3 linked regions of the Arabidopsis thaliana genome follow. The protein of the gene in region 3 purifies or fractionates together with the protein of the main gene of each other region. This does not show direct contact. Each region holds a gene or a part of one and is shown on either strand. Other genes may lie near its edges.

Evidence for each region. Proteins that work in one complex are often made in the same cells at the same time.
Region 1: the proteins of ASP3 (region 3) and PGM2 fractionate together in Arabidopsis thaliana (co-fractionation; one large-scale study listed by BioGRID). This does not show direct contact.
Region 2: the proteins of ASP3 (region 3) and PGM3 fractionate together in Arabidopsis thaliana (co-fractionation; one large-scale study listed by BioGRID). This does not show direct contact.

Annotation. Positions count from the first base shown.
Region 1 is NC_003070.9:26,668,131-26,675,192, forward strand, and holds PGM2 (Phosphoglucomutase/phosphomannomutase family protein), read right to left. Parts: upstream 5,037-7,062; coding exon 4,962-5,036; intron 4,753-4,961; coding exon 4,516-4,752; intron 4,296-4,515; coding exon 4,214-4,295; intron 4,119-4,213; coding exon 4,063-4,118; intron 3,910-4,062; coding exon 3,796-3,909; intron 3,677-3,795; coding exon 3,614-3,676; intron 3,468-3,613; coding exon 3,348-3,467; intron 3,246-3,347; coding exon 3,145-3,245; intron 3,016-3,144; coding exon 2,956-3,015; intron 2,854-2,955; coding exon 2,754-2,853; intron 2,628-2,753; coding exon 2,467-2,627; intron 2,373-2,466; coding exon 2,277-2,372; intron 2,139-2,276; coding exon 2,075-2,138; intron 1,988-2,074; coding exon 1,906-1,987; intron 1,827-1,905; coding exon 1,648-1,826; intron 1,560-1,647; coding exon 1,483-1,559; intron 1,400-1,482; coding exon 1,267-1,399; intron 1,175-1,266; coding exon 1,058-1,174; intron 962-1,057; coding exon 890-961; 3' UTR 516-889; downstream 1-515. Other genes in the region: AT1G70740 (Protein kinase superfamily protein), read right to left, coding at 5,717-6,163, 6,245-6,431, 6,568-6,802, 6,902-7,062. UniProt on the Arabidopsis thaliana protein: Catalyzes the reversible isomerization of alpha-D-glucose 1-phosphate to alpha-D-glucose 6-phosphate. The mechanism proceeds via the intermediate compound alpha-D-glucose 1,6-bisphosphate.
Region 2 is NC_003070.9:8,218,056-8,225,062, reverse strand, and holds PGM3 (Phosphoglucomutase/phosphomannomutase family protein), read right to left. Parts: upstream 5,256-7,007; 5' UTR 5,118-5,255; coding exon 5,040-5,117; intron 4,452-5,039; coding exon 4,370-4,451; intron 4,283-4,369; coding exon 4,227-4,282; intron 3,874-4,226; coding exon 3,760-3,873; intron 3,625-3,759; coding exon 3,562-3,624; intron 3,417-3,561; coding exon 3,297-3,416; intron 3,211-3,296; coding exon 3,110-3,210; intron 3,005-3,109; coding exon 2,945-3,004; intron 2,844-2,944; coding exon 2,744-2,843; intron 2,651-2,743; coding exon 2,493-2,650; intron 2,406-2,492; coding exon 2,310-2,405; intron 2,201-2,309; coding exon 2,137-2,200; intron 2,051-2,136; coding exon 1,969-2,050; intron 1,887-1,968; coding exon 1,708-1,886; intron 1,617-1,707; coding exon 1,540-1,616; intron 1,430-1,539; coding exon 1,297-1,429; intron 1,185-1,296; coding exon 1,068-1,184; intron 949-1,067; coding exon 877-948; 3' UTR 516-876; downstream 1-515. Other genes in the region: AT1G23180 (ARM repeat superfamily protein), read right to left, coding at 5,548-6,179, 6,254-6,444, 6,542-6,582, 6,663-6,716, 6,819-6,915, 6,997-7,007. UniProt on the Arabidopsis thaliana protein: Catalyzes the reversible isomerization of alpha-D-glucose 1-phosphate to alpha-D-glucose 6-phosphate. The mechanism proceeds via the intermediate compound alpha-D-glucose 1,6-bisphosphate.
Region 3 is NC_003076.8:3,684,428-3,689,715, forward strand, and holds ASP3 (aspartate aminotransferase 3), read right to left. Parts: upstream 3,428-5,288; 5' UTR 3,295-3,427; coding exon 3,109-3,294; intron 2,799-3,108; coding exon 2,727-2,798; intron 2,634-2,726; coding exon 2,572-2,633; intron 2,484-2,571; coding exon 2,400-2,483; intron 2,309-2,399; coding exon 2,209-2,308; intron 2,116-2,208; coding exon 1,995-2,115; intron 1,900-1,994; coding exon 1,736-1,899; intron 1,638-1,735; coding exon 1,500-1,637; intron 1,420-1,499; coding exon 1,203-1,419; intron 1,123-1,202; coding exon 1,002-1,122; intron 915-1,001; coding exon 830-914; 3' UTR 519-829; downstream 1-518. Other genes in the region: MYB3R-4 (myb domain protein 3r-4), read left to right, coding at 1-37, 165-257. UniProt on the Arabidopsis thaliana protein: Amino acid aminotransferase important for the metabolism of amino acids and Krebs-cycle related organic acids. No activity with D-Asp or D-Ala as amino donors. In plants, it is involved in nitrogen metabolism and in aspects of carbon and energy metabolism.

The DNA.
Region 1 (7,062 bases), on a different chromosome or scaffold from region 3:
ATTTTGATTAATTAAGCATTTCTGCATAAGAAAATGCTAATATTAAGCCTTTTGATTTTTTAATATTTTTCTTCGAGGATTCTATAATCAGTTGTGATTTCACCTAAAGTTAGACAATACTATACATAAAATCATTCTAATTTTTTTTATACTTAAATGCTGATCTTTTTATACGAGCTAACTCTATACTTTGACTATAGAAGCAAGAGAAATAGACAAATGTATAGCAAATAGCTAACCATCAACTGTATGTTACAATGTTGATGGTTAGCTAAAGCATCAGTCATTGTTGAGACAAAAGTTTAGTAGAAGACAACAAATATGGAGAAAGGACAGAGGAAGAAAGCCTAAAGTGGGAGGAGTGTTTGGATGGTAATGATGCCTCTCTTTCTTTTGGATTTAAAAACCAAATAAGAAAGAACCCGTGAACCCTGACTCACTTATACAAACTAACACATGGCACAATCTGATTCACGAAATTCATGCCCAACATTAGCTTTTAACTGTCAGAATGTTTTTGTTGGTCAAGCTCAAGAGACAAATTATAAACATCTGTCTTCTGGCTTGTCATCACCACCTCTCGGGTCCATTATCTATAGTTGTACACCGTAGGTTTTAGGTATCAGTTATTGTTGGATTCGCTTTTTACTCTTGCTACGTCTCCATCTGCCACACATGCTCCAATATTGTGGCAATTCTTTTTTATTTGGAGGAGCCAAACAAAGCTAGAAATTCAATTGCCAACCTAATGTATATTCCATTAAAATTATATGTATTGAAGTATACTTGTGTAAGATAACAGATAACAGGAAAAAAGCAAAACCCAAATTCATAAGAAATGAAGTTGGAATGAGAGTAGTATTGGAGACAGCGTCTTCTGAAAGCTGTCTTATGTAATAACAGTTGGTGATGATCGGCCGGTGAACTCTTGCATTTTCGACAGCTTTAATGCAACATCAACCTGTGAAAATCAGACACCAACAATTGGTGTTAATAAACATGACAAAGATCGATTATGCGTAAATTTGGGAGTAATTAAGGTATCTGGGAATCTGACCAGGGGACCAAGAGCATCCTGAGAATCTCGGCCGATCTTTGAGGCGTCCTTCTCGTATTGTTCAATGTATAGCCTTATTGTTGCTCCTTCTGAGCCAGTTCCCGAGAGACGGAACACCTTCATGAACAAGAGAAACAAGCCCGGATTAGCTTTTACAATTTCACAGGTTGTTGAATTGTTATGAATCCATTTCACACATATCGACTTACAAGTCGTGATCCATCCTCGAATAAGTATCGGATCCCTTGGTGCTTTGAAACAGAGCCATCTACTGGATCTTTGTACTCGAACTCATCTGCGCTTGCAACATTTGCCACCTCTGGATGAATTCCCTTTATAATCCTGACCAATTATCCAAAAACGTGAGTCTGAAAGTCATACAAGTAAAAAGGAATGGATTTGAAATTAAGTGGAGAGAGAGATACTTGTTGACTTCGGGAAGTGAAGATTGCAACTTAACCAAAAGTCCCATGAGTTCTTTAGCTGCAGTTGCGTCTACGTTCTATGGAGCAAATATTTAGAAATTGGTCAAAGGTAATTGGTTATTCTACATATTGTCTACAACCAATAATGACATTTGTCAGTTTTACCTCATAGTCGTATCGAGTGTAATAGTGACGGCCATATGTAGCCCAGTGCTGGCGGACAATGTCTTCAACCGTCACCAGTTTTGCATTCCCATCAAGGGTTTCCTTGTTCTTGTGAGCCAGTATTGATAGCCAAGCAAGAACTGCCCAGATCCCATCTTTCTCACGGATATGATCCGAACCTGTCGAAAAGCTTCTTTGTGAGTTGTGTAGGGTTGTTACGGTTTTAAAACATGTGAAGATCTAGCAATAGAAGCTCACCGGTTCCAAAACTTTCTTCTCCGCATACAGAGCACATCCCAGCATCCATTAGATTGCCAAAGAATTTCCAGCCTGTTGGAACCTAAAATATAGAAGTATTAGAGCAATAGACTATGTTACGTGATTGCAATGAATAGAAGCTAGAGAAAAGCTTCACAATGACATCTACCTCAAAGAACTTCAAACCCAAGTTTTTTGCAACGACATCAAGTGCAGCTGAGGTCGGCATGCTCCTGCAATACGAATGTGAAAGTTGAGAATTTAATGAGAAAAGATTGTTACTATCTATAATAAACAAAAACGTATGACACCAAAGTCCAGCGTTTTCAATCTATGAACTGGAGTAAACAAAGAAGAACCGGGATGCATACCTAGCAACACCTTTTAAACCAGAGCTGAAGTATGGTATGGCCCCAACAGCATTTGCAGCAATTATAGCAACTGAATCCGAAGGAGTTACGAAAAACCTGCGGAGAAGAGATATTTTTGGTTAACGGGGAGAGTGGTATATCCGCTCCACATCTCTGTGATCTCACTTAAAAGAGAATTAGTCTCTGCTACCTTTTACCGAGGATCATGTTTCGGTCTGCATCACCATCAGCAGCGGCGCCAAACTCTGGAGGCTCGCCACCAGCATCATCAGTTTTACTCAATCCCATGCGTGCCACGAGCTCCTTAGCATAGGTAAGATTGGGATCCGGGTGGCCCCCTCCAAAGTCCTCCTGTACATTGTCCGATTGTCGTGTTGTTATAAATCATAAAAGACACTGTTCAACGTGTATTTATAATCCTTTCAGGAAATGATATTTCTTGGTTATACAAAATAAGAAAGAAGAAAAAAATGATACCTTGGGTACGCAGTTCAACAACGAACTTTCTGGTGCACCTAGTTCTTCGACAAAGATGCGATGTGCATATGCTCCAGCCACTCCATGCAATGCATCATAGCTTCATAGAACGATGGGAAATAAAATATCAAAGACATGATGGAGCCTATACAAGCAAACAAACTCAAAAGAAAAGATTTATGGATGTTGATGAACTATATACCAGAAAGTAAATTTTGGATAAGATAGCAATTTCTTGATGGATTCAAAGTCGAAGATTGACCTGAAGAGACGAACAAATCTTTTAGATCATCGATACCGCAGATTCTGGAACCATTCTCTTAAATGCATAGACCATAGAGGGAGTAGATTCAAGAACTGTTCTCTCAGATACAAAGATGGAAAGACTTACTTCATTAGTTTAACATAGTCATCTGCAGAATCAAAAACTTCGACGTCAAACTTTCCTTCAGGTCCTTCAAAGCTGGTTATACCAATAGTAGAAATATCAACCTGTTGCATTCAATCAAAAAGACCAGCAAAAAAACATGATTAGTACAAATACAAGATGAAAAAAAGATGATGACAGGTAATAAGATCAGAAATGTTAGGTACCCTGGGTAGATCTTCCGCTATTGGGTACTCCTTGATTGTCTTTGTGTTCTCGTAAATCTTATCAGTGATTGATTCAGGAGCTGGTCCACCATTTTCCATATTGTACTTAATTCCGAAATCCTGTGAATAGAATAGCAGGAAATCAGCATATGGAAGCAGAGAGATGAACATATAGTTTAACAAAACTGATGCTAGGATTCAAATAATACTAAGTGAGGGTATCGAATGAACAAGCACAAAAGAGTGAGAACAAAAAGAGAACTGACCTCAGTTGGGCCACCAGGATTATGACTTGCTGTTAAGATAAATGCTCCTGTGGCTTTAGATCCCTGAAATTGGATCTCGGGTTAGTTTCTCATCACGTCATTACATGTTGCAAACATGCATAGCCTTAGATAACAACCCAAGAGAAAAGTAAGTAGTATGAGTTTAGAGGAAGATATCTCACATCAGCCCCTACTCTTTCACGAATAATAGCTGATACTGCAGGAGTTGATAGCAGACTGTTTTGACCAACCCACACACGTCTAACACCATTAGCTGCTGCCATCTTTACTATAATCTGTCCAGATAGGAAATAAAGTGGTATTGACGAACTATCTTTTTTATGAAATAAAAGATTCAAAACAACTAAAATAAGAGTAAAGTGTCTAAGAATTATAAGTTAATGCAAAACGCAGTTTGCCATCATTCAAAGGACATATAAAGCTTTTACCTGAATAGCTTGCTCTGAATAATAACGACCATCACCAGAAACCACAAGTGTCGCACCTGAAAAAGTTAACAAATACTCTTTCTTAGATGGAATTTGCAATCATCGACCTTTACCTGAACAACAATCAAAGAGAGGTAAGAGAGATCTTTACCTTTAACTTTCTCTGTAGTAAGAGCATTGAACGTTGCCTGGACAAAATTTTCAAGGTAATTTGGTTGCTTAAACACTTTCACCTGTAAAATTACGAAACAATGCGTAAATTCAAATCTCATCGGATCGGATCAAATTGTTAAAACCAACACACAAAATTCATTCAATCCATAAGATCGGAACTAAATGAAGAAATCAATTTCGTTGCGAAGATCTGAATTTAGAATTCAAATCTCTAATCCAATTTCGAAATAAGAACGCGGGGATTGATATAACAAGGAGAAGAAGCGAAAGCGAACGAACCTTCTTACGGAGTCCAGAAGTCCCAGGTTTCTGGCCATCAATAGGCGAAGTAGAGACGAGAGAGACCTTGAACGACACCATTTCAAATCTGAAGAAAATCGAATAAGCCTGAAGATGATAAAATAAAAGCCTTTTTACACAGTGAGTCTGAGGAAAGGAGATGAAGAGGCTAAACGAGAAGGTGACGCGTGTGGCTCGTCTCTTTTCGTTTTTTTTTTTGGTAGGATCTCTTTTCGTCTTTTAGTGGACCTAACTTTTTACCCAAAACGGGTTAGTATATATATTTTATTTTTAATTTCCAATAGAGCCGAAACGATTACAAGGCCCAACAAGCCGACAGAGGCACGAATGGCCCAAAGAACATACATGGCAATAACTGCCTAAAAGGACACGCAGGCCCTAGAACTAGAACCTAAATAAAACAACGAGGCCCAACCGGGCATTACCCCAAAAATGAAAAGAGAAACTTTAACTGAAGAACCTGAATCAGGTAGAAAGCAAGAAGTAACCAAGAGGAACATTAAAGCAAGAAGTAACCAAGAGGAACATTACGTTGATGTCTCTGATGATTAACACTGACGGTCTGTGATTCTTTGGCGAAGTTCACCTCTAGAGTGAACCAATTTGATTCACCCCCTTTTTAATGACAAATCAAAATACAACATTATGACATGTCATACTTTATTTAAAAATAAATGAAAACTAAAATTTGAAAAAAAAAATTAAAGAAACAAAATCTGTATATTTTAAATTAAAGAAAGTTAAATATATGTTTGTGTATTTTCTCCACTAATTTCAGTTAGTATTTCTTTTACTATCAAAATAATTGTTTACAAAAACCCTTTTTATAAATTTTAACTGAAAAATAATTTAAAACGCATAAAAAACATTTTAGTTTTATGTTTTGTTTAAAGTAAGGTACCGTTAATACGTACAAGAGAATATGCTTTTATACGTACGAGGCCAATAGTGGGGACCTAGATAATGGGACTACAAGTGATTATTCTAATATACAAATGTAACAAATGAATCATAATTTTTTCCCGCTAATATAACAAATCATACTACAAAACTAAATCACTACTGCAGTCAAAAAAATAAATTAATTTACTTTTCAAAAGCAAAATTAAATAAATTATGAAACAAATATTATATATGCAGCTCGCTATTTACAATCACCTATGACCAGATTTTATGTACTTCAATAACTCATATGTCGTTTCCCGTGAGGGTCTGAGCTAGAGCTCTGACCAGCACTTCTAGTGGCATTACTCCGAGTTGAAGCTTTAGAAGATGCGGGGGTACCTCTAACACCAGTTCCCGTGTTTGTGTTCAGGTTTGAACCGAAAGAATCTGTGCTGGAACCAGTGGTCGACAATGTTCCAAGTGATGCTGCTCCTGAAGGACGTTGTGTTCGCCGACGGTATCTAGATCCCGGGACACCAGGATGATCCGGTTCTTCTAGATGTCCTGGTTTTCTAGAGAGAAGTAGAGATACCCGTCTCATGCTCGGTCTTTGATGCGGATCGCCTTGAACGCAGAGTAGTCCGATCTGTACACAGAGTTTGACTTGATCTGGATCAGCTGAAGCTGCTATATCTTGGTCTAGTATCTCCATGGTCCGGCCTTTCTTGTACAACTTAAATGCCTGTGTCACATTCAGAAAGAATTTAGCATTGGTTATATTACGCTGAAGAATATTGGCTGGGTCAGGCCATCACACAACAACCCTATAAACAATGGAGCATGAGACTAGAGGCTTTACCCATTCAAGAAGAGTCTGGTCAGGGTGTCTCATGCTAAAACTCGAGTTCTTCTGTCCACTTACGAGCTCCAGAACCAAAACCCCAAAGCTGAATACGTCTGCCTTTACCGATAGAACCCCGTGCATTACGTACTCTGGCGCCATATAACCACTGCGCATAAGAAAAGAAGAAGCAATGGACGTTAAATAACATTCTACCATGAAACACCAACAAACAAAAAGAGTTCAAATGACACAAGAAGATATGTAAATGAGCTTTTTAAGGGTAAACAATAGAGAGAGCATACTTGGTTCCTGCAACACGAGTGTTGACATGTGTTACATCTTCCTGATAGAGTCTAGCCATCCCAAAATCTGCAATCTTAGGAACCCATTTTTCATCCAGCAAAATATTGCCAGCCTTAATATCCCTGTGGATGATGCAGTTTGGCGCGTCTTCATGTAGATAGAGCAGTCCTCGAGCAATGCCTGTTATGATCTCAAACCTCTGCTTCCAATCTATCTCCGATTTTCTGTTGGATTCTGCATTCAAATGAAGCAACCACTACATGTTAAAACCATCTTCTTTCAATATCATTTATCCTAATATACAAACCAATCTCATTGAGAAGAAAAACTTACTGAAGAGGACCTTGTCGAGGCTCTCATTAACGACATACTCATAAACCAAGAGCTTATCATCTCCATGTGTACAATAACCCCAAAGATTAACAACATTGCGATGCTGAACTTTAGCCAACAACTTAGCCTCGTTCACAAACTCGTTTTTGCCTTGCCTTGAA
Region 2 (7,007 bases), on a different chromosome or scaffold from region 3:
TATTGCACGATTATATAATCAAATTCTTTTTTTTCTCACGTTCATATATTATGTATATGAATATGATTTATACGACCACTCAATTAGTCACATGTTATTGATACTTGACAGAACTCATTATGTCTGAATTTGGATTTGAAATATACTGATAGGTCAATGATACAAATATTTGATACTAAAACTCAAAAGAGAAAGAAATCGAGTATAAGAAAGATATACTTACACGAAATAAAGGATAGTGTGGTTTAAGTGGAGTAGAAAGTTGAATGAAGCTTCGTTCTAGATATGGAAGGTCCGGTGGGAGAATTAGGGTTGTGTACGACTCTAACCAAATCTTTGGGTTTCCTTGTTCCAATTCTCTATATTCGTTTCGAAAGCAACACATACATATATTGAATCTTCCATTTATTCTCTTTCGTTTTCAAGTTCGACGTCTCTCCCACTTTTCAAAAGAGAAGTAATAAAAAATGGCTTTCGTCCATATATTATGGTATCATGCATTGAAAACCATGCAACATCAAACCAAAACACGAGAGGGTGCATTTTCATGAGTACCCATTTGAAGTAATTAGACAACTCTGAGATTTGTCAATGGATGGTCGTAGCATGCTTTGAGGTATCAATGAACTTAGATGTTAAGAGAGTATACTCGCCAAAATACGGAAACAAGAGAGAACAAAACTGAGAAAGCCAAATCCGTACAAGTATAAGCCTCACAACAACTCAAGAAATCAGTCTTGGTTGTTCAGAATTCTGATGAGAAATACAAATTCTCCCTGAGACTAATTATTCTTATAATGTAACTTGGATAGTATAAGAAGAAAACATCATATAGACGAAAAGGTGAATGGTTTGAGTCGTTGAGCTTGACCCTTCTTATGTTATGACGGTGGGGGCTGATCGGCCTGTGAACTCTTCCATCTTCGACAGCTTTAGAGCTAAGTCAACCTGTGAATCACACATCAACAATTACGTATTTGATTAGAGAAAACCCCTTTGGTATTAGCTAAATGGTAATGAGTCGGAAAACAGTTTATGGATTTGAGGTTTTATAGTAAGCAACTGACCAGAGGAGACAAAGCTTCCTGGGATTCTCGGCCGGTTTTTGAAGCATCCTTTTCGTACTGTTCGATGTAAAGCCGGATGGTTGCTCCTTCTGAGCCAGTTCCAGAGAGACGGAAAACCTTCATATGGTTTCAGATATAACAAGAGAGGATTAGTTAGTTTTGATTTCTATCACTTTGTTCTTAGCTGGAATGTATCCAAGCTCAAATACCGAAGAAAAAGATGACTTACAAGTCGTGATCCGTCTTCAAACAAGTAACGGATTCCCTGGTGCTTCGAAATGGATCCATCAACTGGATCTTTGTACTCGAATTCATCAGCACTGGCGACGCTTGCCACGTCCGAACGAATTCCTTTCACAATCCTGAATAAAATCAAGAGAGAAGAAGAGGTTAGAAAAACAGAGTACCAAACTGATGAGTACGTGTTCAAGTATAAAAGGAAGGGATTTCAGAGAAGTGGAAGTGTGTGTACTTGTTAACTTCAGGAATTGAAGATTGCAATTTGACCAAATGCTCCATCAGTTCCTTAGCTTTACCTGCGTCTACATTCTTTAGAGACAAATTTTGAGATGTCAGTAAGGGTACTGTTTCTTCCATATAATATGGTATAATTACAATCACCAAACTTAGCAACTTTTACCTCATAGTCGTAACGAGTGTAATAGTGACGACCGTAGGTAGCCCAATGCTGGCGGACAATGTCTTCAACTGACACCAGTTTAGCGTTACCGTCAATATTTCCCTTGTTCTTGTGAGCAAGTATAGACATCCATGCAAGAACTGCCCATATTCCGTCTTTCTCACGGATATGATCCGAGCCTGTGAAAGATCTTTCTTTCAGAACTGTATAGGTTGTTTTAAAGTTATGAACAGATGTGTGAGTGTGGAAATAGAAACTGACCAGTTCCAAAACTTTCTTCTCCACAAACAGAACACATCCCAGCATCCATCAGATTACCAAAAAACTTCCAGCCTGTTGGAACCTGATATGTGATTTAATAGAGATATGAAATTAAATTATGTAGTTAGGAGAAAAGAAGCTGGATAGAAGTTGCACGGTGACATGTACCTCAAAGAACTTCAAATTCAAGCTTTTTGCAACGACATCAAGAGCAGCTGAGGTTGGCATGCTCCTAAAACAAGAAGTGGAAGTTACAAAATAATCCACAAAAAAGATATATTAAAAGAGTTGTATACACAGAATTCTACTAGAAGTAAAAAAAGAGCCCAGGTGTATAATACCTTGCAACACCTTTCAAACCAGAGCTGAAGTACGGGATGGCACCAATAGCATTTGCAGCAATTATGGCAACTGAATCCGAAGGAGTTACAAAGAACCTACAAATGAAGAGATACTTTAAGTTTAAAAGTACTTGGTATACTAGTTCCATGGATGTATCTCTCTTGAAAACGTCAGTAAGCTACCTTTTACCAAGGATCATGTTACGGTCTGCATCACCATCAGCAGCGGCGCCAAACTCTGGAGGTTCACCTCCAGTGTCGGATTTACCTAATCCCATTCGTGCCACAAGCTCCTTAGCATAGGTCAAATTGGGATCCGGATGCCCTCCTCCAAAGTCCTCCTGCAAATCGTTGTATTGTGGTAAATATTGAGCCTGGAGGTGTATTTGTAATCATTTATGGAATAGCGTTTCTTGGTTAGACAAAAATAAGACCTTGGGAGTGCAGTTCAATAATGCGCTTTCTTGCGCACCGAGTTCTTCGACAAAGATGCGATGTGCATAGGCTCCAGCAACTCCATGCAATGCATCATAGCTTCATAAAACAAAGTAAAATATAACATTACAGTGATGGAACATATATTACAAAACTTAACTCAAATGGAAAAGGTTTGGGAACCAATGTTAGTTACATACCAGAATGTAAACTTTGGAGATGATAGCAATTTCCGGATGGCTTCAAAATCGAAGATTGACCTTGAAGGAGCGAGAATTTTTCTTTAGAAAGATCATAAAAATTGCACATAGACCATAGAGGGAGCAGATTCCAGAATCATGCTTTTAAATTGAGGGACCACTCACTTCATTAATTTAACGTAGTCATCTGCGGGATCAAAAACTTCAACATCAAATTTTCCTTCAGGTCCTTCAAAACTGGTTACACCAACAGCAGAAATATCAACCTGTCGCATTCATCAGATAGACCAGATCAACTATGATTCAACAAAAGACAGATGATGGAAATCTATAAGAGGATTCTTAAGAATACATTGGGTAGATCTTGTGCTATTGGGTACTCCTTGATTGTCTTAGTGTTCTCGTAAATTTTATCAGTGATTGATTCAGGAGCAGGTCCTCCATTTTCCATATTGTATTTGATTCCAAAATCCTGTACAAGGGGTATGGAATCACCTCTTAGTCTTATTATCCATCTAGATATCTTATTATTAAAAAAAGAACAAATAAAGAGATACAAAACGAATAGTTCAAATGAAAGGATAGCACAGTAGAGATGGAACAAGAACAGAACGGACCTCAGTAGGGCCACCAGGATTGTGGCTTGCTGTTAAGATAAATGCTCCAGTTGCTTTCGATCCCTGTAATCGGAGACTGGGGTTAAGTAACTCAAAACCATCATTACATTTTGCGTCATGCACAAACATAGCAAATAACCAAAAAAAACAAAAAACAAAATGTCACTACAACCATGAGCATAGAGAAAGAAATCTCACATCAGCCCCTGATCTTTCACGAATCACAGCTGATACAGCAGGAGTTGATAACAGAGTGTTTTTACCAACCCACACACGTCGTACACCATTAGCTGCTGCCATCTTAATTATGATCTGTTAAGATACAAAATAAAATTGTATGAAAAGCAGTAAAACATCTTCATCTGTAACAGTATGAACCGGATTTGTAATAGGAGTAGATCAAACAAACTTAAGTTTCAGAGATTTCAAAGTCAAACAAAACTTTAACTTCTATAAACCTCTAATCTCTCTATAGAGGTTTCGATGCAAATTTTAGAGATGAACACAAAGAAAAATAAGCAAGGCATTGATGATAATAGCAGGCCTTCCTAACACAGGAGTTCCCTCCAAAACATTGTAAATACATGAGCACTAATTCATAATTCTATGGATACGCCAATTACATTCACACAGATCCAGAAGACAGGGAATATCATCGGCCTTACCTGAACAGCATCCTTTGAGTAATAACGACCATCACCAGAGACCACAAGTGTGGCACCTGCACATATGAACAATAAACACTCATGAATTTTTCGAATGAGCAGATATCTCTGAGAAGCTAAGATGAGTATGAAAAAAATCTCACCTTTAACTTTCTCCGCCGTAAGAGCATTGAATGTTGCTTGGACAAAATTCTCTAGATAATTGGGTTGCTTGAACACTTTCACCTACACAGTTAGAAAAAAAAAAAAAAATACTAATCAGAGATACAAAAAGATGCTAGTTTGATATCTGCAGAGAGTAGAACAAACAATCGACACTCGATTGATTGGATAAAATGATCAACCCAAATTTCTTTTATCAAAATATCTGAAACAGATCTGATCAGTGAGTCTCAATAAACGTCATTGCAGATCGTATATACGTTAAACGAAGATCTGACAATAACAACTAGGCTCTTCCCTAGTTTCAATTATACACAAATTCAATCCATATAGTCTCCATTTCGCTACACCAACTCAAAAAACGTAATTTCAAGCTCTATCAAATCAACATTCACCACATAGAAGCGTCCCAAACATATACTCAAATCAAATATAATAAACGTGATCTCGAACTTGATCCAAATAAAATAACGAAAACGAAATTTAAAATTTGTCATCATTCACTAATCAATATAGATTAATGCATAGATCAAATCTAATCAGATGGTCAATCTCACTTCAAAATCACACTCAAGAAAATCTAAACAGATCTGATCCAGATGCAACAATTCGATTTCGTTTGATTCAGAAGACAAGGATCGATCAACGAACCTTCTTACGAAGACCAGAAGTTCCTGGTTTCTGGCCATCAATAGGAGATGTGGATACGGTAGAAACCTTGAAAACCATATTCGCTTTGAGAAGAACAAAGATCAAAATTTGGACGCAGAGAGAGTGATGATGATAAAAGCAAGCAGCTCTTAAATAAATTACGCAAAAGAGAAGCTTGCTTAAAAGCTAAACGATCCCAAGACACGTGTAACCAAGTGAGTGAACTAGAACGTTTCTCTCGTTTTCACTGACACAGTAAGAAAATCTCAGCCGTTGGATTGTATTTTCAGATTTTAAATTCATTTTTGCTTGCGTAACATTTCAAAGATTAAATATTTGATTGATCATGTGTAATCTCTAGAATATGGTAATAGTAATATACGTGCTACGTAATCCGATTATCTTAATGTAATTAACTTTTCGTATATTCGTCTCACATGACAAATCATACATTATATTATTCTAATTGATTCCAAAATTTTACATGACAATAATCTGTAAAAATGTCTTAAACGGGTAAATTTCTGAGTAACCGAAGAGCTTTCTCCCATTGTGGTCGTTGAGACATAACGATACGTCTCAATACTGGTACAGCTCCTGCTCTTATGATGGCTGTGTGGTTCTCACTGTCCATGGTTAAGTTGTACAATACTGACAAACTCGCTTCAACGCACCGCTCGTTCCTTTCTTCAAGAAGCTTAACCAGCGGTTCGATACCTCCTTGTGAAGCAAGTGTTTGGATAGATTCTGGAACTCCCTCGGAGACTATCTTGTTCAGTTCTAAAACCGCTGCTTCTTTCGTTTCTGGTGATGAGGAAAAGCTCATTTGTTCCACGAGGCTCGGGATCGTTTTGTACAGAGTTACCTCAAGATTGATCGGATTGTTGAGGGATTGAGAGGGAGAGGAGAGAGCGGTGAGTTTGACAAGACAAGCGGCAACCCAGTCTTTGTAGTGTAGAGGGAGGCTTGATCTTAGGATCTTCCTTACTAATTCTATGAAGACCGCGGTATCTATTGTTTGGCGAAAGGACTCGGAGTCAAGAAGTTTTGTCAGTAGCCTTGAAGCAGCGGAAATCGTCAAACCAGCTTCTTCTAGCTTAAGCAGATGTTTCTCTAACTCCTCAGCTTCATTCTCAGGTTCTGCATTTCCATAAAAAGTATTGTATGCTGTTATAAAATTCAAACAGAGTTATATCAAAAGATAAGTTTTGTACCTTCCAGGACTTTCTGCCGGAGAGCAAGATCAAGAACAGTTGTGATATCCTTGGAGATGATCGTGTCCATGTTTGGATTACTGATTATACCAAACTCGATGACAGAGATTGCGTTTCTTAGCAGGTTCGGAGAGGCTGTTTTCGCAATCTGGACGAGCCGAGAAAAAACAGCAGCGTCCAGAACTTCCTTTCTGTTCATTCCCATCCGATGTTTTGAGTAATTAATACTTCTAAAAAAACAAAAAGAATGAATGAGCTGAAGATAGGAAGATCGAGAAGAAGACTGACCTGGAGTCTGCTTTTGATCCGTTCACCGGTCCTTCATAAAACTGTAGCATGTAGAGAAATAGCATAAGCCAAATGAAAGCAGATTTAATGTATAATAATCAACCTTGGAAAATAAACACACCTTGGATTCCATTTCCTTGCTAGGATCTAAGATATGAGCAATTATATCCAGAACCTGCATAACATAGTTCACAAAATACCATTTCACGTCCAGTTATTCCATAATAGCCTAGACAAAGATATCAAAGAACAAAGGAAGAAGAAAATGAAGTCATACGTGTTCTGTAACGTTTAGTGAGATCTCTGGCTGCTTCAGAAGATTAATAAGAAACCATACTGCACCTTCAGCTTCAATCCTCTGGCAAACAGTGCGGCTGCATTACAAGTATAAATAATCTCAACCTCTGAGGAGAAACTGCTTAGTAAAAATGTAAAGAATGCTCAAAGATAAACACCTAAGTGATAA
Region 3 (5,288 bases):
GAAGGAATTGGATAAAGAGAATAATGATCCTCTACTGGTATATATACATACTCTACAAATCATTCACTCTCTAAGTAGACGGTTTTGAGATTATAGTTCTAGAAACAAAGAAAAATGTTTTGTGCTCCATTGATTTTGTGTTTTGAACATTTCTCAATCTATAGGCGGAGCGTCGAGTGCTGGACTTCAACGATTGCGAGTCTCCAATCAAAGCAACAGAAGAAGTCTCATCCTACCTCTTGAAGGGATGTAGGTAAAATGCCAAAAGCTTATACATAATATGCAAAATGCACCATACATGAACAATGTATAAATATGTATGTGCATCTTTTATGAATTATCCCTGGCTGGATCAATTTTTTTTCTCTGTTTCTTTTTAATGGATCAATTGGAGTGAATTTATGTAGATTCTGTGTTCAATATATATATACATATTTCATTTGCCTGCAATGAGTACACGTCCGTATACTCTGTGAAACGAACCAACTGCAGTAACTTATTCTTGTTCTCTGCTAGTTTAATCTAAATAGTTTCTGCAATTCCGTCATATGCTAAAACCTCAGATTCTACATGAACTGTATTCAAGTTCACCAGCTTAAATCTCAAATGTTTTCTCTTAAACATTTGACTCTATAAGAAACCAAAAAAGAGTTGTAAGCAATAGTAGAAGAGAGAGCACAAAAGCTTTCTTGCGTACTTTATTGATACTGGGATGAAACAATAATAATAGTAACGACATTTATCTTGTCACTGCCGGAAATGCTATAATAGAAAGAAAAGAACAAAATCTTTATTATGAAGCTTTGGTGTCATGGTGGTGTTCAGTTTCTCAGACGGCTTTGGTGACAACAGCATGGATAGCGTCTGCAAGGTGAGGTACAGTCTTCGAACTCAGACCAGCCATGCTTATCCTCCTTTGGTTCATTTATATCAATCATCACACACTAAGTTAGACAAAATTCAAGAAAATTAATAGATGAAGAAGAGAGGCAGGCGCTTACCCGTCAGATGTCATGTAGATGTGGTACTCTTTAGTCATGAAGGAGACTTGAGCTGGGTTTAACCCTGTGAAGGTAAACATACCAATCTGCTTTATGATGTGACTCCAGTCTCCAGGAGTGCCTGTCACAGTGATTTTGAATTTCATTTCATTAGCTATGTCCATTTACATTCCTTATACAAATCAATAAGACCTTACTTACCTCGAGTACGTAATGCCTCGAAAAGCTGTTTCCTCATGCTGATGATACGATCAGCCATGGCCTTCAGTTCCAGAGTCCATTCGTTGAACAAATTCTTGTCACGGAGGATTACAGCCACGATTGATGCACCATGGATTGGAGGACTCGAGTACATTGGCCTTATCACTAGTTTCAGTTGGCTTTCAACTCTCCCCGCAACATCTGCTGATTTGCATACCTACAACAACTTCTTTTATGTCAGAAAGAATTTCTTACGCGTTTCTTAAATAGATTTCTTGCAATGCAACAGGTTCTTACAATGCTGAGAGCTCCAACTCGTTCTCCATAGAGTCCCATGTTCTTCGCATAACTTTGAGCAACGAGGCATTCTCCGCCATCAGCAACAAACATCCTAATAGGTTTCGCATCTGTATCAAGACTTCCACTTGCAAAGCCCTGCGATACAAAAAGAGAGACAAGTATTAACCATTGATTCAGAAGGAAAATGGTTTAAATATCAGCTGATCTTACACAAAAGGATTCATCAGGTGTACCTGATAAGCACTATCGAAGAAGGGCATCAATCCCTTTGATCGCATCAACTTCCTGATTTGCTCCCATTGTTGAATGGTTGGATCAACACCAGTAGGGTTATGGGCACAGGCATGGAGAAGCACTATAGAACCAGGTGCGGCAGCACCAAGGTCTTCTAATAAACCTGTGAACAAAAGAAGAAAAAAAGTTGACGTAAACGAATTCAGAAAGATATATAAGCATATCAACAATAGCAAGCAAAGAACTCAGTAGTCTCACCTTGAAAGTTCAACCCACGCGTCGCTGGATCGTAGTATCGGTAAGTTTTCACTGTCAAACCAGCGAGCGTGAAAATCTTTGGATGATTTCCCCATGTTGGCTGAGTGATGTAAATTGTTTTCTGAAAAGCAAAGGAAAAGACTCCAAATTTCTATGAGAAGTTCTATAGGATGAAGAAATTCAATCAGATAGGAAATTAGGCTTAAGCATCAACCTGATGATAATGTTTAGCCAAAAACTCTCCTCCAACTCTCAGAGAACCAGTACCAGACAAACACTCCACGGTGGTAATCCGATTCTCCCGAATAGCAGGACTAAACCATACATGAGAACACCAATCATAAAGAATTGTCTAAAGAAAAAACAAAGTGATGAAAACATAAAGAATAAACAGAGAATGCATACCTGTCAGCGCCTAGTATGAGCTTAGCGCTTAACTTGTTGAACTCAACCAATCCAACAATGGGAAGATACTCCTTGATTCTTGTTCTACAGATTAACACACAAAACAAGATTCAACATCATCAAGCACACACACACACATAAAGGGTAGAAACCAAAAGAAAGAGAGGTAAACCTGTCATTGATAAGCTGCTGCTCAGCTTTCCTCACAACATTAAGAACCAAAGGTTTTCCCTCCTGTAACCCATCAATAAACAACCAATCCTTTTCAGTTGCAACAACAAAAATAATAAATCAAAGAACAGAGACACATCTTCATTGTAACATTACCTCAGTTCGGTAAGCACCAACTCCTAAATTCAGCTTAACTGGGCTAGGATCTTTGTTGTATGCAACTGTCACCTATTCATTTTTTTGTGAAAAACAAATATCAGAATCACTGACATAACCACACTAATCATCATAATTCATCTCAGAGCTGAAAATTTGGTGAAAAAAAAATGAATTACTAATCAAACGAACCAAATTCAGAAGCATAAACATCAAATCTTATCCCATTTCATAAAACATCATGTCATTTTATCGAGAGATCGTGAATTCCCACCAATCAATAACGGATCCAATGCGTATGATACACATATCCAAAAGTATCGTCCAATATGTTTGAGAATGATATAGACACACAAAACATAATCGAAGAAGAAGAAGGTACCCCAAGAATAGGATCCTCTGGAGCTTGAACAAGATGAGAGAAAACAGAACCACCGGTGCCTCCCGATGTCGGAGATGCATAAAGAGAGCTCAGGTTGTCCGAATCTGAGCCGGAATTGAGATGACGGAGCAGAGCACCGATCCTGCGATCGGAAGAAGAAGAGGAAGAGAAATGAGTAGTTTTCATTTTTGTTTTTGCTTCGTGTGTGTTTGTTTACGAATGAAGAAATAGTTGAATACGAAGATCTCTTTCTTTATATCAATTTGGTCTTCTAATTTATTTTTGGCTATCCAAATTTGCCACGTAAGCTTGGCATAAAGTTGCGTGCCTGAAGCATCATCATCATCATCATCATCAAGATATTAAAAAGTCTTTGTAAGATTATCCATGAAAAAGCCGGGAAAACAGGGAATTAAAATACTCCAAAAATAGGGTTTATATTCGCATTTTAATTGTTGAAAATCTAACATAAATTTTACATTTTTTACACTACCAATAATGTTATATAGAGAAAAACTCTTTGATTGTTTGGGAGATTTTACAATGCTCATTGTTTAGCTGCTAGTATTTTTTTTTGGTTAAATGTGAAATTATTTATTTATCTGTTATTAATAAAAAATAACAAACAACCAAAATGCTAGAGATTATTAATATGATCAACGTATAGTTGTTTTTGATTTTGTCAACGACCTTTGTTGAAGAGGATGAATATGTGATTTAATACTTAGTGTAACATGAAATATATTAAATATCTGATTGATGATGGTTACTTGTGGTTACGAACTTACGATGATAGAAGTTTGTTTGGTCTAGTCCCCATATCAAGCTTATGTTGATTATTCTAGTTTATTAGTATAATTTAATCTTTATTTTAAATTACTTTTATATGATTTACAATTTTGGATAATGGATCATTTTAGTCTCTTTTTTTTTTTTTTCACTGAAAGATATATTTTATATTCAAGATTGTAACCAAATATACAAAAAGTTAGGATCAAGGACAATCATTCTAGATCAACCACGTTGAATATTACACTAAGCAATACTTCTTTCTTTCTCAAAAAGATGTTTCAGCCAAAAAGGAAATCCGCTTGCTACATACGATTGGCGGCGATCCTCCATTGTCACGCTCTTGGCAATAAGATGAGCTCCAAGATTAGAGCTTCTTACTTCACCACACAATTTCCAATCCAAGATCATTTTAGTCCAAAACCAGATTATTGCTGAAAAGCAAAGCATTCGATTAATTTAAAAATCCGGCAAATTATAATCTTCATATTTTTTCGTTGATACGAGGACGTTCTCCTATCTTCTCCAAGAAAGAAATTTGTATCCTCGAAAGTACTTACTCAGTTACTTGACTTATCAGGTGTTGATGGTTCGAGGGCTGGTTTACTGATCCACGGCCAGGTTAAGTTAACCCATCAAAATTGTAACACGTCCTGGGTTGATATGCGAAATCCACTTTTTATCGTCTAAATGTTTTTGTACGTCCTTCCTATCCCATAGTGGGGGTGGTTGGTTGGGTCCGGCAAATGGATTCTGACCCGATATAAGAATAGAGAACCAATTACTTGGATCGTCGATGGCTTCGTTGAGCTTGGGATTTGTTGTAAAAACTGGTTGCTGTGAAGAGATTATTCAAGACGCCAATTATGTCTCATATACCTTTGTTTTTTAGTGGCCGGTTTCTGATGAGTTTTGGGATGCTTTGCTTTATAACTGATACTTTAATGGATAAAATAAGTTAATTTAATGTTTCTACAGAATAAATGGTTGGTCCATATATGTTTTTGAGAGGGGTAGACAAAATTTTAATTTGAGTTCGACCATGGAGAAGAAATTAATTATTTGCATGTTGTTTTTGTTGCAGTGGAATTTATGGAATATTCTGAAACCGCAAAAAAGTTGAAATGAATCAATAATTCTATTTGATAGATAGTTTAGTGTATTTAGATATATACAATAGAATTTCTTAACTTTGTATTTTATATTGCAACTCAGTAACGATGTAGTTTTAAACTTTTGTCATATTTTAGTTTTCGACCGAAGAGATTATATGGATCGTTACGTTAGATTTGACACTCTTTTGATCATAAGAAAAACGAAACCATAAATGCTGAAAATGATACCAGAAAACTTAATTGCTTACACGACAAATGAAACTGTTGGAATTTTGT